2 linked regions of the Xenopus tropicalis genome follow. The protein of the gene in region 1 purifies or fractionates together with the protein of each later gene. This does not show direct contact. Links are inferred from orthologs where the notes say so. Each region holds a gene or a part of one and is shown on either strand. Other genes may lie near its edges.

Region 1 (9,085 bases):
AGGCCCAGCCTGTGTGTTGGAGTCACATGTGCCCATGCTCATACCTGCTAGCCGGTACTGGCAAAAACTAGCCAGAATAGGGTTACAGCTGGAAGGGAGGGTTGAAGCGAGCAGTGTGTAAGGAGACCATAGGAATGTGTATGCCCCAGGAGGGATTGTGGGAGAACTTGTAGCCTCTAGATACGTGTGCAGTTGGGGGTTTACAGCAGTGTGGGCCTATGTAATTTTATAGCCATGGGGGCTGGGGTAGTGTGTAGGAGCCCTTCTAGTTATGTGTATGAAGTAGAGGGAGTTGGGACAGTGAGCCATGATCATGCTAGTGTGTTGTGTTCCTTGGTATGTGTATGTCCATGGGGGGGGGCACTATATAGATTTATGGCCAGTGGGAGTTGGGGAACTATGTGTATTGCTGTGGGTGTTGGGGCAGTGTGTGAGGCTCAGCTGTATGTGTATGGCTGTGGGGTGGCTTAGGGCAGTGTTTGGGAGTTTCCTTAAGTATGTAAAAGGCTGTGAGGGGTTAGGGCAGTGTGTGAGGTCCCTAGATATATTTGTGTATATTACAGTGTGGGGGGGGTTGGGCAGTAGATGAGGACCCTATGCAGGCTCATGTCCATGGGGGGGAGATGTTGGGGCAGTGTAGGACCCCTAGGTAGTGTGTATGACCCCATTATGACCATAAAAATATCTCACACTGCCCAAACCTTCCCTATGGTCATACATACTATAGGCCCCACAGTTTTGCCCTAGCACTATTACAGTCAAACACATACTAGGGTCCCAGCACACTGGCTCAATCCTGCATTGCCACCATCCATAAAGATATCTGGGGTGCCCACATGGGCCCAACTTCCCATATGGTCATACATATATTTATTACCCTAAATACTGCCCTAAATACTGCCACCTACCTAGTGTTCCAGCACACAATTTCAACCCACGCCCATAAACATACCAAGGGGGCTCACACAGCCCAATGCTTCCCTATGGCAATACACCTACCTATTGTCCCTAAATACTGCACCACACCCTTGGCCAGAAACTTACATTGGGGCCCTTCACATTGCCAAAAAGCATGGGCATACACATGCCTATGGGTTTACACAGCCCCAACCACAAACTGGCTACAAACTTACATAGCAAATCCACAAACTACCCCCAAATCACCACACTGTCCTAACCCTCTATAGCCATGAAATTACATAAGGTTCACACACTGCCACAACCCCATAGGGTTCCCACAGGCCTGGACAAGTTGCCTTTGCACTTCAAGTTTGCAGAGGTAAATCCCCCAGAGACCCACTAAATAGTGACTGGCATCTCCCAACACAGCCACATACTATACCTAGTGGCCCCACAGTGAGACATAATGTGGCAAATTCTGTGGAGGTCACAGGCTTTTATTAATTGAAACCATAAAAATTATATATAGGTACACCCTGACCACAGCTGCGGCTCTTATTTCCAAACACAAAAACTATTGTGTCTCCAAAAAACCAACGTGGGCGCAATGCCTCAGTGATCTTCATGTGTTCCTTCAGCAAAACAATCTGTTGACATGCAACCCCTGTGTGCTCAGATGCCCAGAAAATAAAAGAATGCCCCAATATCAAAATGTTGCAAGCCGTTGCACCTCCTACTGCGACAAAAAACAAACAAAAAACTTTGGTTAAGACTTCTCACTTGTGTTATTTACAGGCCTTATATACTTCTTGTATACCCTCGACTTCCATCTACCCAATGCTTTTATCTTGTCACTTCTACCACCCCCCATTGCAGCTTCAGTTGCTGCGCAGATTCTAAAAGAGTGGGTTCCAAACTTCTTTGGGGCCCAACCATTATCGATCACCGCCTTCTTCAGAACTTGCCTAAACTGAAAGGCTGAAAGAGGGGAACCATCTTTATGCAACAACAATAGCTGCCCCCCCTCCGGACGCATCGCCATGTATTCCCTTAACAGCTTTACTGGGTATGATACTTCCCCTGTTCCCTGTATACTTACCCATTTTCCTTTACCCATTTGATCTGTCTTCAACCTACTAATATAAATCAACAATTTATTCTTTTGTAATGATACATTCTTGTATTGCAATCCTTTTTCTATTGCCTTCTCCCGATGTGGTCTGATCGCTACCCACATCCCTAACTCCACCCCTTGCGACCCTTTCGTGGTTTGCGTTGGTGACAGTGGCAGCCTTCTTCCGGCCTTTTCCCCAGCACCGGACGTTTGGAGTTCCTCTCCTCCTGCAAAAGATACCTCACCTTCCTCTTCCGCGTGGTTCCTAACAACAACTCCCCCTGCTCCCCTCCATCCCGGAACCTTTTTGGCCGAAGGATCTTCCTCCTGGGCAATTCCACTCCTGCACCAATGGCGTCCATTATCATACCTCCCAACATTTGAAAATCAGAAGGAGGGACAAAAATGTCTGCCACGGCAAAATTTTTTAGGTCATGCCCACTTTATGGCCACGCCCCCCCCCCCAAACAGGCCCATTTTACAAAACCACACCTGAAAAGCATAACATATACAAAGTGCACCAGAAGACAGACACGGTGGCCCCAATCATTTTATGACATATTGTGGCCCTAAGGATTTCATTATGCACTGTGGCACCTGTATTTAATGACAGACTCATGACAGACATTGGTAGCCAGGTGTTATGTTTTGCATTGGCGCTAGAGCAGGGACCCCCTAAAACATTGCTGGTCCTCCCCCAGTGTCCCCCTACTATGGGCTGCTCCCCACTGCAGAATCCACCCAACATCCTCCAGCTCCCCCCAGCATCCTCCCCAACATCCTTCAGCTCCCCCCAACATCCTTCAGCCCCCCCAACATCCTTCATTTCCCCCCAACATCCTTCAGCTCCCCCAACATCCTCCCCAACATCCTTCAGTTTCCCCCAACATCCTTCAGTTCCCCCCAACATCCTTCAGCTCCCCAACATCCTCCCCAACATACTTCAGCCCCCCCAACATCCTCCAGCTCCCCCCAACATCCTCCCCAATATCCTTCAGCTCCCCCCAACATCCTTCAGCCCCCCCAACATCCTCCCCAACATCCTCCAGCTGCCCCTTACCTTCCTCCAGTGTCCTCCCCAGCATCCCCCTGCTCCTACCACCAGCTTCCTCGGCTGCGCCCCAGGGCTCTTCTTCTCATCCTTGTGACGTCACACGCACGTCTCCCCTTAGCGCCGCAGCTTCTGCACTGTGAATGGCTTTTTGTTAAAACTGAAGTGAGCGGTGCAGAAGCTGCGGCGCTAAGGGGAGACATGCGTGTGACGTCACGGGAGCGGAGACCTTTAAAAAGCGGGACAGATCCGCGCCTATCCGGGACAGTGGGACAGGGTGGCAAAATCGGGACTGTCCCGCGTAAAACGGGACAGTTGGGAGGTCTGCATTATTCAAGCGAAAATCACTTCTGCTGACTGATGCCTGCTGCTGATCCAGACTCTGCCAAATCCTCCACGGGCACCGATCCTGAAACAAGAAACAAGTAAGAATGTGGCCTTAACAAACATACATCCCATTACATACCTTGCTCTGCCTAAGTCCCCTCCCCTAGCCCACCCCTCTCTTTCCCTCCACTGCTCATCCTTCTATTGTTCTACCTGGAGCTGGCCGGGGGAGGGAGCAGGCCCTGCCTGAATGACCATATGGCTAAAGGGGGAAGGGGTCCCAGCCTAACTTCATTTCAGCCCTATTTGGGCTTCATTCACACTATTAACCATAATACTATCTGCGGTATAGCGTAAACATTCGCTATTTTTCTTCCAACTAGTTCATCGACTTAAAAGGTATACAGTTCCTTTATACATTAGGAACTAGCTGCCGCAGGGAGGACACATTAGTTTTAGTCACACTGTTCCTCTCCCCTGCCAGTAGCCTCTTTCCAGCCCACAGTCTGGCAGAGACTGTACCGAGCAAGGCTTGGCTGAGTGCAATGAACGCAGCCTATCCCATCAGCAGCCCAATCCCTAAGGGTGACCAGGAGAACCAATCCGCTGCCTGTTTACATGGTGCTCTGAAAAGGAGAGGGCTGTCCTCAATGAATAGAGTTGGGAGGAAACCTTCCTTGCAGTCTGCCTGATTGTGTCCTGTTCTGCAACAAAGGAGGAGAAGTGTAAGTGACAAAATCTTATTTCCACGAGTGTCGGGACGCTTTTGAGTGGGGTTTGGGTGGGCCCGTGGAGTACTAACTGGTTGGAAGGCATCAGGCAGCGTTTTTGTTCCAAGGGGGCCTCTCAAGGCTGCTCTGTACAGCTGTGCTTCAATACCGTGCTGCTGGATGGTGGTGCTCAGACACTGCACATCCTTACACTCTGCATTGGAACTGCTGCTGCTACTTTGTCTTTGTGCTGCTTGTGAGCCTGACTGGGTAGATGAATTTAAAACCAAAACAAAGATGTATTGTTACAAAAATGCAAGTTGGTTTAATTCTTATTTTTCTGATTGGACCGCTGGTGCTTTAAAGCAGAGATTGCTGTTCTATATTGTCATGTTAGGTGCCTGTAACAACTAGCCAACCTGGCCCTCCAACTTGGACTACAGTTCCCAGCAGGCTCATTGAAATCATACTGCATACAATATAGGGCTGCAAACTGCTTTAATACTCAGATGTGTTTGTAAAAATTACTGGATTACATATTATTCTAATGCGTTCGTTCAGAATTATTATTATTTTATTTTACCAAATATTTCCACTGTTTAATGACTTTTCAGAAGTTTGGAGTAAATTACAATGACTTTAAAGTATAGCACCCTCTATAATACATTTTTCTGTCTTAATGTAAATATCAGAAAATGTATCTGCCTGGGCACTAGCTCAAGTTTGCATGCTCTCCCCATGTCTGAGTGAGTTTCTTTGGGTAATCAGATTTCCTGTTACGCTCCAAAATTATACAAGCAGGTTAATGTCAGTTGCATGAGGAGCCAATTAGACTACCTTTATGTATTTAAACTGAGAGAAATCCCACATAGACATGGGATGAACAAAAAGCCTTGAAATCGAATCCTGGACCCCAGCAGGGCAAATATGCAGTATTACCCACTGCAACACCACAGGGCTGATTCACTAAAGTGCGATAAATTTTATCGCACTTTTTTTGCGTTAAAATAGACGCGAAAATTAGCGCGCGATTTACTACAGTATTACCATGTGCGTTAAGTCGCGTATCGCATGCGTTATTTTTTGCGCAACCGCATGCGTTAAATAGCGCGCTGAAAAGAATACAAACGCATGATTCACAATCACTTAGGCGCGCTAAATATCGCATTAGGCTATGCGAAAAATAACACCTACTGGAGGCAGGCGATAATTATAGAAAAGTACAGTAAATGAGCTTTTGGCAATAAAATATGGACTTTGCAATGCTATTTATTCAAGTATGTGTTGGCCCTAGAGTGACGCAGCCTCCAGTTTGCAGGGAAATGGTCATTTTTAATACAGTAATTTTACGAAAGTATTGGCATGTATGGCTAACATGGCGTGCGTTTCTTCACGCGACTATTTATATGCGGCTACAATTGATGAAATGTTTCGCCAGGCGAATTTTTGGACGTGCGACAATTTTTTTCGCGGCAAATTTTTTCATGCGTTTTGCCATTGGCGGATTGTTTTGCGAAACGCATGAAAAAATTCCCCGTGGAAAAATTCGCCGCACGTCCAAAAATTCGCCACGAATCCATGCCTGGCGAAACATTTCATCAATTGTAGCCGCATATAAATAGTCGCGGGCAACAATTTTTTTGCCCGCACGACATTGCAAATTTTTCGCTAAAGATAAGCGGAACAGAGCAGTTACTATTTATAAGCAGCTACTAATTATATGCTACCATTTATATGTGGCGACAATTCATATGCGGCTACTATCTATTTGTGGCGACTATACGCGGGTGTTAATTAGCGCATGTACCGTCAAATACCGAACGAAATTAGTCTTTGCGAGTTAAATAACGCATGCAATATCGCGCGTAAATTAGCGCAAGTATGCTTATAGTGAATCGTGCGATAAGTCGCGAAAATTTAGACGTGATAAAATTTTTAACGCACGCTATAAATAGCGCACGTTTTATCGCACTTTAGTGAATCAGCCCTCATGTGTCAGATGTGATTTCAGAGTGTGCATTTGCATATTTTATGTGCATACTAAACCTTTTTTTATGTAATCTCACACCCAGAAATTGCAATGAACTTTAATAGAAGTCAGTGGCTGTGATTTCTGTTTATGTGTATGAAGTCAGATCTGATTTTCAAGTCTTGTGAAAAACAAAAGTTTTGCCTTTTCATTCATATATGTGAGGTTTCAAACAGCTTTGGACATATGTTAAACTAAATTTAACTGTTAAAGGGATATTGACACTTTTCCACATTTACTAGAAGTGTTCATTTATCCTTTTAATAAACTATCCAGCTGCCTCCCACAAACCCCTGTACCCTTCTTCCTCACTGCGCAACCCATTAGAGACATGTATTGGTCACTGACACAGCTTCTGTCCATGATGCCATAGCAATTGACACTGCACTTGGAGTGCATTGGAAAGCCCTGATAGGCTGAGGCATTGTTTATATTTATACATGTAATGAGGTTCAGTGTGGACAAGTGCAAAGTTATGCAATAGAAATAATATAAACGCAAGCTATCTACTAAATGGCAGTTTGTTGGGGGTATCCTTAATTCCAGCAGAGCTCCAAAAGAGCATTGACTCAAGGGATGAAAACATAATTTTGCCTCTTTATAGGTCCCTGGTAAGGCCTCACCTTGAGTATGCAGTGCAGTTTTGGGCTCAAGTTCTTAAAAAGAGAGTGCAGAGATGTGCAACTAAACTGGTAATGGGGATGGAAGATTTAAACTGTGAGGTTAGACTGTTAAGGTTGGGGTTGTTTCCTCTGGAAAAAAGGGGCACCAGAGGTCACCCATTTAGATTAGAGGAACGGAGCTTCCATTTGATGCAGCGTAGGTGGTTTTTCACGGTGAGGGCAGTGAGGTTGTGGAATGCCCTTCCTAGTGATGTTGTGATGGCAGATTCTGTTAATGCTTTTAAGAGGGGCCTGAATGAGTTCTTGAACAAGCATAGTATCCAAGGCTATTGTGATACTAATATGTACAGTTAGCATTGATGTTTGCATATATAGTTTATGTATGTGAGTGTATAGATAGGCTAGTGTGTGCTGGGTGTACTTAGAAGGGTTGAACTTGATGGACTCTCTTTTCAACCCTATGTAACTATTTATCCTCATCCTATCAAGAATTTGGCCGATCCTGCAAGCGCAACATTGTCTGCTGAGAAATAATGGGCAGAAGTTGAGTGCAAAATTGAATTAAAGAAAGCTTAATATGCACAAAATGAAATTACAAAGGCAGGTGTCCCTGGGTACTGGAGCTGCAGCATGGGTCCGTAATGGGGAACCAGAGGGGCACTAAAAAAAAGGATAAAGTTATATTGACACATTTAATACATGTTTTGTTTATGGGAAATGTATTCCACACAGTGATTAAACAGCCATTGCTGGCCGCAGCCACTTGAATGGCAAACATGTTGCTTATAATAGACACTGGTACTGAAGTGGCAGCACTAGAGCCTGCCATAGACAAGGTGTTTCTCCATGAAAGGACTATGGTAGTCAAAAAAAGTCCTTGTGTCATTAGCCTTACACCTTCACTATTAGGTGGTCAGCTTTGAACATTTTGTTGTGCTTATAAAAATACCCTGAATAATCTCTTCTAGACCTTGAGCCATTGTACAACCACTTTTATGCTGTCTTGTTGACTCTCAAGTATTTGTGTAGAACTGGCATGTGTGATACAGAGAGAATTTGTTGGGAACCTCTAAAATTTACAGTAGATGTACATGTAGTAATTCATGGATATTGTATGCAAAAGTAAACTATTTATTAACATTCTCTTCGCCTATCTTCCTGTAGTGAAGCCCAGAACAAGTGGCTTTTGATTGTCACATGCACCGAGAAAACACTAAAATTATGCCTCAGATTTTTGGAACTGTCTAACCACAAAATAAACATTTCGGAATAAATTTGTTGTATTTTACAGTTTTAGATTTTTGAATTTTTAGGGTGTTCATACATGCCCAGGTTACAACTGTGGTTTCACTGCACAGCGTTGGTGAGTGCATTGTGCATCCACAGATGAGGAAGTAAAGAGGAACAGCAGATCCTCTACACTTCCTGCAGTTCTGAACAATACAATGAGGCAATTCACATGTATGGCTAGTTGTAGGTTCGTGGTCAGCATGCCACGAAAGCATAGCCAGTGAATGGGCATTTACTACTCTTATTCCTTTCTTATAATTGCATGGTTTGTGCTGATATTGTCAAAGACCAAAAGATTATCGGCTACAAAATAGAATTAATGAGTTAAGTAAAATGCAGATTTCCAATCTGTTCAGAAACAGCATAGTTCAGAATCAAATCTTTTCTGATTGATTGATGCTGAGGCATTATGTAACTCATTTTCAAACTGCATGGCTGGCAGGATGTGGTGGTCTAGCATGGTCACATTAGAAAGAGATTTAGGCTGCTTTCTCGAAGGATTATGTGCACTTGTGCTTCCCCTTTTTTAATTTAGCTGCTCAGTGCTTCAAATGGACATTGGCCTAGTTAGCATGGCTTATCTCTATCTGTTCAGGTATCAAACTTGTGTGGCGCCCACGCTGTCTTCCTATTGCTTTAAAAATAAATCCTGTGGCACCTCAATGGCTACAGTGCCATGAGCAGCTAAATAATGTGGTGTGCCCACAATACACATAATAGTACCTTACCAGTAATTGTTGTGGTAGTGTTTGTATATATATATACAATACAACCTTGTGACCAAGGTGGTGGGGTGGCTGACCAAATGTTGAAATGTGAAGGAGAGGGTTTGTGTAGAAGCTAAAAAAAAATAGAGCAATGGGAGAGCAACAACACAAGGCATAGGGGCCCTGAGTGATCACAGAAACGCATATAGGAATGAAAAATAAATGGCAGGTCTGGTGTTTGTTAACACAAAACAAAGGAGGTTTTATGAAAACAGATGCAAAAAAATGCAAGCATTTTGTTGGTTACCATGATGTACTGCATGTGGGCAAACTT
Region 2 (8,555 bases), about 61 Mb from region 1:
TTTATCTAACAGATGTCCAAAGGGGCTTCTATATGTAGGTAACAAAACTCACTTGGCGCTTGACTTAAACCATGAACATAAAACATAAGTATGGCTGCCAAACATGAAATCCATACACAAAGCGTGTGTGGCTCCATTCCCCTCTTGCAACTAGGGATGCCCTGGGTCAGTTTGTAGGTTGGCAAACTCTAGTAAATAGTCAACTGTAAAGCTGGGATGTCAGCCCACGTCCCTCCAGCTGCTGTGATTTGCATTACCCAGTATTCATACCCTTCAACTGCTGGGGCATGCTGGGAGCTGACAGCCGCTTGAGGAAGGAAGGCTGAGGCATCTGATGGAGTAATTTATTGTACAAGAATTGCACAGAGCTTTCATTCCATCTCCAGCAGAACTGACTGCTTAAAGCAAGATACCTGAGGTTTCACAATATCTTCATTTGCCTTATCACAGTACTTTGCAGAGTTTTTTGTTTTTACATTTTTATATATTCGTACTATGATTAGAAAAAAAAAAAGGAAAAGAAAATCATAAAAACTATAGCTTTCACCATTTCCCTATGTTTAGTCACTCATCATTCAGGAATGTCCATGTCCTGTGATATCCATGAGCAGAGGCAAGTACGATAGGGATAATAATGCAAGGTCCATTTTTGCCTTAAAAAGGAGGAAAACATTCTTCAGTGCGAGGAAGAGTCCACTCCATTAACGGAATACCTGTAATGCAAGAATAGGAAAGGAGTAACGAAGGGCAGCCAATTATTTTGGTTATTATTTTGGTTGCCAAACGTTTGGTACGCCCAGCGTTTGTAATCACTTGCCCGAGGATGGCTTGGTTGAAGGAACCCAGGGCCGGTGCAGTTTTTGGCAGTCTGGAGCACCAGCCTGGGGTTCCGCCAACCAAGCCATCCTCTTCTTTTGTGAAAGATTTGTCCGAAAACCAACCCAAATCCTAATTTGCATTTGACGATTAGGAAAAGGAAGGGTTAAGGAGAACCGCACACAAAGTGACAGTGAAACATTTTCAACTTCTATGTTTATGTGACAAAAAGTCACATGATTTTTAGGATTCAGATTTGGTTCAGCCAGGAGCATGGATTCTGCCAAATCCTAATCTTGTGGAAAAAGCTGAATTTAGGCCGAATCCTGGATTTAGTACATCCATAGTAAAAAACTAGAATGTGCCACTGCATTATACTCCTCTAAACATAGAAGAAATGTGCTTTAAAAATAAGTGTTGCAAGGCTGATTTATTGAAAAGTTCTCCAAAAACAGTCCCACCCATCTGTTTCACTTCCTACTGCCTCCTTTCCCAGGCTGTGCAAAGGAACCAGAAGCACTTAGCACACTGCATTGTAGGACAGGAACCAATCAGCAGCTAGGTGTAACTGATAAGGACCTGAAACCTGCCATTGTGTGTGTGACTGCAGGGCTGTGATTGGCTATCCCGCTTCTACTGTGCTTCTGGTACACCTTATTTGAAACAAGGAGAGGGCAAATCTACAGGGAGCTCCAATAAAAGGGGCCATTTTTTAAAGATAATGATCATTTTTAGCCCTGAGTGAAATCTGCACCACATATTATTCATTATTGCCTACAAGTTTGGGGGGGGGGGGGGGGGGGGTCACATATACTATATCATTTTAGTATATTTTAGCCTTAGAGCAAGAGACAGAAGCAAAGAAAAAAAAGTTCCAAGCATTCGGCATACCAAATCCAATCTAGGTAGGTCCCACTCTCTCCAAAGGAAACAATTAAGTTAAATTACTGTCTGGGTTATTGTGTGCTCCAAAGGTTTCATTTAAGTATAAAGCTTTGAATTAAATTGTGTGAAATTTGACTCCTTAACCAACTAAATTGTCTTTTCTCTATTACTGTGTGGTGTCCCGGTGGCAAAACAAGTGGTAAATACTAAATTGAAACTATTGCTATGCAGAACCAGGTCACGGTGAAATACACAACACTCACGCACACATTGATATATGTGATCAGCAAGAAACAAATCCATGCAAAATGTTAGTTCTCACCTCTGAAGCCTAATAAGAAGCTGTGATACCATGGAGTCCGAGATACCCGGACAGGCCTCTTCAGCTAAATAAATTGCCTCTCTCAGTTCCTCTATTGAGCCTACGTTCCCGCCACACGCTTGACTCTTCTCCTTCAGCTGAAAGTAGAAAAAAATGCAAAAGTCTAAGGCTAATGCCACACTGGGATGATTCTCGGTCTGTGGGAAAGTCTGAGAATTAGCCCCTAAGCTGGCATCAGCCTTCTTCTTTGGCTGCACCCAGAACAAATGTGCGAGTCTGGGCACATGCGGCATTTCTTTACCAATATCTCCTGCATGTGCCTGCACCCTGGGCAACACAATGGCTCCAGGTGAAGGCAAAGAAGGCAGCTGATACCAGCGAAGGGTGCCGATTCTTGGTCTGCATTTTTCAACAAGCCGAGAATCAGCCCCATGTGGCATCAGTCTTACCCTTAGGGGCAGCTGCTCATTAAAACAAGAATGAGCCAAAGAATAGACAAAATGTACCTACCTCTGCAAATAAAGGAGACATAATTGTAGATAAGCACTGAGACAATGGCCGTTTGGGAATGTCTTTAACCTTAAATGTAATGTAAAAAAAAATAAATCAGTATTCGTCAGTAAGCAGACATTTTAGAAGAATGATTATTTTAATTTAAAAGAGACAAAATTCATATTTCTTAATATACAGCATATATACATACAAGCAAAGAGAAGTGAGGACGGTGAGTACTGCACATAACCCTTTCCATTCTTGTTCATTTAAAGAACATGACTCTTACTGCCATCAATACAATTAATGCTATAATAATAAATGAAAAAGACAGGGATTATGCTGCCTTGACTACTCCTAAAAGCATCGGAGGGAGACATTGTTAAGCACTTACTTTATTATAAGATTTAAAGTAATAGGCAGTGTATGTTTTTCCCATATCAAGCAAGGCTGGGGAGTGTAGCAAGCACTTACCATTATAAGTCATTGGTTCATATTAATATAAACTGTAGTATAATGGCTGGACAATAGGAACTTTTCTTGTGACTCAGACTTTATGCCTTACCTCTTCTGGCTGTGCAGGAATGGGCTCCAAGTTCTTCAAGTCTCTCTTTCTTCTTGTGAAGTTCCAATAATCCTTCTCGCTGCCAGCAGCTTGATCTACTTCTTCCCTTTACAGTGGGCAAAGGCAGACATATATACAAGGTTTATTTCTTATTACTGAACCTGCACTCTATGCCTGATCAATTTTCCCCTGTATTACTATAATTATTTCAATTTTTTCATAGAACACACACAGTTTTAGAAAAGGTGATTAGCTTGCAGCTGCATTTGTAATTCCTACTGGCATACCCAACCAGTCTCTCTACCAGTTTCTCTTATCCCCAGGATTTGACACTCAGTCTGCACTGCTGTCAGGGACAACTGAAACTGCTTGCAGAAGCCCCCAGAGCAGCAAATGCTGACCCAAGATAACCACTACTTTGCAAGCAGCAAAAAACATATGTATTAACACAAAATGATCAGCTCTGGAGTATTTTTAAGCCATCAACTTATTTCATTTCATTATTACTGAACAGTAGGATGGGGTCAAAGGAGGAATTCATTGAGTGTTAATGAGCTGAGGCACCAGAGTTAATGCTGAAGTAAATTTGGAAATAATCATTGGGGATGGAGTCACTTCCAAAGGCAACTACACTGTACATGTGGTAACTCCATTTTGTTTCTATTTCCAATTCTTGCTTTATAAATCCCACATTCTAAATGAAAACACCATCAGAAGGAACACAAAAGGGCTTATTTTGAGCACAAGCCATATTTTTGCATGTACAGTTCAATGTGAATCAGACACACTTGCGCTGAGAATCTTTTGGGTTCAGATGTCAACATTGGTGGGGCTCTGCTTTAAAACAATGGCTGTGCCCTGATTCTTTAGGTGCAAGTCCACTGCATCAAATGACACAGGCCACTATGGGAACACTGCGGTTACTGCACCCTTGAAGGGGACAGCAGCTTCAGGGTTTCCTACATCAATGTACGCAATTCAGGAAGCGACACAGAGTTAGTGCCGCTGAACACAGATATGTAGAAGAGCAAGAAGTGGCTTATTATAATATTAATAGTGCTTTGACCTTACATACAAGTAAGCCAAACCACTAGCAAAGTCATTTCATTGGTACTTACTCCTCAGAGTCTGAGCTGGAGGCTTCATGGCCCTGTTCTATCTTCCATCTCTTGTATCTGTCTATGAGCTCTGTTAAGTAGGAGGTTTTCTTTGCACTTCGCATAATAAACTTGTGTTTCAGCAGTTCCTTAGCTGAGGGTCTCTGGCAGAGGTTAAAAAAATTGTTCATATATTTCCATTTAGAACAGGTTCAAGCAATAAGTTATGTATAACAAAAGATATCAGCTAGTTTTATGAGCCGGCCACTCCCAAGTATTTGTCATTTAGCAGAAACCCCATGATCTCTATGTGGGAGTCCATATCTTCAGTAAGAAGGTCAAGCTGTTTACTTTTGATTTAGGTTTTCTTTAACCTTCAGTCCAAGAGACCACTTTCTGTGCTTTTACTTTACAAATCATTATACACATTTTTAACTGACAGGCCAGCACGCTAACTGTCAATACATTTTACCAATCAGTATAATGTTATCGGCCAGAAAAAAGTGTTGATATATCATAAAACAGATCAACCTGTAGGAGTTACCACTGCAATATATAGCAATGTGTATTGACTCCAAAGGGACACAAAGTTACTTTATGGCATAATGTGTGCAAGTCATGAATCCTCCCGGTATTAATATGAATGTAGGTGCTGCACATAGCTGCCAAGAGAAGTCTCTACTTTAAAGAGGACATTAAATGCAAGCTGATTGCAGAGTTCACAATAAGGAATCCTAGCCGCTTCCCTTGAAGCTCAGCTACCACATAGCTATCAGGCAGTTCAGAAGCTACATTTGACCCCCAACAATTTTAGGCTTTATGTGAAAGGGGCTGGTTTCCTTACAAAGATACTATAAAAGTCCAGGGAGCAGAGTGATATGTACAATTATTACTTTAGTAATCCTAAAGTGAAAGCATCAATCAACCCATAATAAAGACAGTGCTGCTGCTTGTGAACTTGAGGGAACTGGGATTAAGAACATAGCTGATCCTGTCCTGTTTGCTAAATGTATTAATATTATGGCATATACTTCACTGGGGTAAGAAAATCAACAGATCCAATGCCTCCAAGGGCAGTTTTCCCTTTAGTAATTAAAAGCAGAGGAAAGTCGCCAATATATTGAGCTCTACACAACAAAGAGAGAACATCAGGATAGCTGCTTTCACAAGTTATTGACCCAGTGGATGTTACAAGTTAATGCAGGTGGCCTGGATCTTCTTGGTGACACTCGCCTGCTACCTGAGAGATCCTGCAGCACAGTGCAATCTGAAGCCTAGGTGCACGAGTGTCACATAAGGCATACAAAAGTCAAGCAATCAAAGTTATAAAGGGTCACAAAAATCCCCTATGTAAGATCAATAAAGCCTTGGTCGTAAAGAATGCTCTCAACTGTCTGTTAGATAATATAATTCGAAACTAATCCCTGGTCTAAAGGCTAAGAAAATATTATATACAAGCATTTAAGGTCCAACATTGGCGCTGTATTGCAGCAGACTTACAAAACTGGGCTCCTTGTTTAAGCAGGCTTCTACAAACTCCTTCAGACCCTTGCTGTAGTTCCCTTCCAGTGTGGGAGGATTGTTCTTGGGTATAAGGAACAAGACTTTCATGGGATGTAGCTCTGAGTGAGGAGGCTCTCCTTTTGCCAGTTCAATAGCAGTTATGCCCAGGGACCAGATATCTGCCTGTATGTAAAATAAACGCATAAGGATAGAAACCCATAGCAGCTGCAACAAGACATGTAGATTTTCTCTTTTAATTCAAAAATTTAGATAATTCAGCGATGGCACACGCAGGAACTGTCACTGATCTCTTTATCTAAAGTATGTTAAGAGTACAAGGCTGAATTTCACTGCAAAGGGCACATAAAGTACACACTGATCTTATGATTTATAGGAGTTTCTGGTGATGAGGAAGAAAAACAACAACAACCAAATCGAAAAAGTAACCATGGCATAATAGTGATGTTGCCTTATCCAATCCTCCCCTCTGCATATGCAACATGCCAGCAAGGTGGGCCTGTGACTTGCATGTGTGCAGTAGTTCCAAGCTCCCGACAGTGGGGCATATTTACTAAAGAGTGAAAGCAAAATTTTGAGCAATTTCACCAAAAATGAAAATTCACCAATTTTCTAACAGGAGATTACAAGTTTCTCTTAATAAACTTTGTACTGGTAAATATTCTCTTTACACTGGTGAGAATTCATATCTTTTCTCCAGTTGAAATTTCTCCTGTGAATCTTTGCTAATAAAACACAAAAATGATTTTGCGACAAGAGAAATTGCTCCAGTAGCCACTTTTGCATCTAATTATCTACACATCCTCCTCCATTTTCCACATACACTATTTCTTTGTGGCGTAAATTCTCTGTGTTCTCTATGTTCACTAGCAAGCATGGAAAACCAGCCATGGACCAGCGCTGACCTTCTTCTCTTACCTTGGAATCATATGCAGACTGCTTTATAACTTCTGGTGCCATCCAGAATGGAGTTCCAACAAAGGTGTTCCTTTTGATCTGTGTGTCAGTAAGTTGTCCTGCAACACCAAAGTCAGCTAATTTCACCTCCCCGTGTTCAGATAACAGCACATTGGCAGCTGGAAAAGAGCAAAAACATTCCAACATAAAGAATCCATTTATCTGCCAAACACAACTGCAATTTATGGTAACAATACGGAAATGTGTAATACACTTATGCGTCTGAGTTAATGCTGCACTGCTTTGGGCACTTCCTTTGTATAGTTATGATTGCCATGATTTCTGATGATGAAAGAACAGGACAAATTTAGGGTTAAACACTCAGGCTTATTTATATATTCATAGATCTGTAAGTGTCCTGTACATAATTCTTAAATCAACCGTGCACAATATGAACAAATTCTTAAAGGTCTAGCAAGACTGTGTCAGTGTAGCAGCTGCATAATAATGCTCAGCAAAGTTTGTTTATGCAGAAGGCCAAGTTGCTGCAACAAACCTGCATGTAAAACCTAAGCTTTAAACACATCCTGACCAACAGACTTTCTGGCTGAATTTCAAAGGGTTCTGAAACACCTATGCAAGACAAAAAATTCTTTTTTTTAAAAATTAATTTTATTCTATATAGTTTTTACCATTTTATCAACAATGTGATGCCCCTCTGGATGAAGGGGTCGCCAACCTCTCACCCACCACCTGCACGCAAACATTGGCAGCAGGGAGTTAGGAGTATTCTCAGTTGAAAAGCAAGTTAATCGTTTCCGTACATGTGTGGCCTATTGTTAGCTGCAGCAGCCAACAGATTAATCTGCATAAGAAAGATGAGAGCTTGCGCATGTGCAGTACCACTCAAGGAAAAGCTTTTGTGCTCTCTCTTTTCCTCTGGCGGTCTCGCTGATCTCTAACTGGGTAAGCGCCTCATTTTAATTAATAAAGGAAGCATTTTAAAAAATTCATTATAATGGGTAAAGTTCTTCTTTTGCATTCCCAGCACTCTGATGGGGCTTTGTAAAAAGTGAACATCAGCACTGTCTTCATTTATTTATTATTTATGATTTTTTAAATACTTTTTTGTTCTACAAAAAAGCAATAAAAAAATAAAAACCATTAAAGAAATTTTTTGCTGCAAGCTGGATCTATGCAGAATAAAATCTTGTATCATTCGAAACACATACAAAATAAACAATCAAACCAACTGAACTCTTTTCAAACGTGCTTCAAATACTATGCAAATGAATCCCCAGTTCAGGCTCCATATAACATAAGACAATTTATCCATTTCATTTGCTAAGCAATTCTATTAATATGGCAGAATCAGCAAGTAAGTTAAAAGATTCACTCATTTGGCCAGGTCACCAAATGAATGGTTCTTTCCCCTGACGCAGTATGCCCATCCCGAGGGCCAATCGACCAGATCATAATGGCCATTATGCAGTCCAGATGCCAACAGATACCCTCAACCTGACGGAAAATCGAACCTGCCCAATTAACATCTACCCGATTTTTGATTGGGCAGGCCCTTCAAAAGGACCCACACGGGCTGAATGCCTGCCTACTCTGTCTGTCAACAGCTTTTGTCAGCCCATGTATGGCCATATTTCATTTGCAACACCTGCATGGAATGGTAAACCCTGCAGAAGGAATATAATCCCCATTCTTCTATTATTTTGATACAAAGAGGAATATGAAGACAGAGTTCCAACAACAGACAGAATAACGAAAAAGGAATGACCTACCTTTAATATCCCTGTGAATTTTCTTCTCTGAATGCAAGTAGTCAAGTCCCTTTAAGATTTCCCGTAAAATGGTTGCAATCTGTGTTTCATCTAAAGGACCAGGTTCTAACTGCCAGGAGGGAAGAGAAAATGTTGGTTAGGGTGATGGAACTTACTGAGGGATTGTT

Evidence for each region.
Region 2: the proteins of cttnbp2nl (region 1) and stk24 purify together in Homo sapiens (affinity purification with mass spectrometry; 3 studies listed by BioGRID and IntAct, with this or other methods). This does not show direct contact. The link is inferred for Xenopus tropicalis from reciprocal best matches to the Homo sapiens genes CTTNBP2NL and STK24.

Annotation. Positions count from the first base shown.
Region 1 is NC_030678.2:60,442,821-60,451,905, forward strand, and holds the start of cttnbp2nl (CTTNBP2 N-terminal-like protein), read left to right. Parts: upstream 1-3,651; 5' UTR 3,652-4,117; intron 4,118-9,085. UniProt on the Homo sapiens protein: Regulates lamellipodial actin dynamics in a CTTN-dependent manner. Associates with core striatin-interacting phosphatase and kinase (STRIPAK) complex to form CTTNBP2NL-STRIPAK complexes.
Region 2 is NC_030678.2:121,395,089-121,403,643, reverse strand, and holds part of stk24 (serine/threonine-protein kinase 24), read right to left. Parts: intron 8,498-8,555; coding exon 8,389-8,497; intron 6,775-8,388; coding exon 6,617-6,774; intron 5,864-6,616; coding exon 5,678-5,863; intron 4,342-5,677; coding exon 4,199-4,341; intron 3,187-4,198; coding exon 3,081-3,186; intron 2,603-3,080; coding exon 2,534-2,602; intron 2,161-2,533; coding exon 2,024-2,160; intron 714-2,023; coding exon 677-713; 3' UTR 1-676. UniProt on the Homo sapiens protein: Serine/threonine-protein kinase that acts on both serine and threonine residues and promotes apoptosis in response to stress stimuli and caspase activation.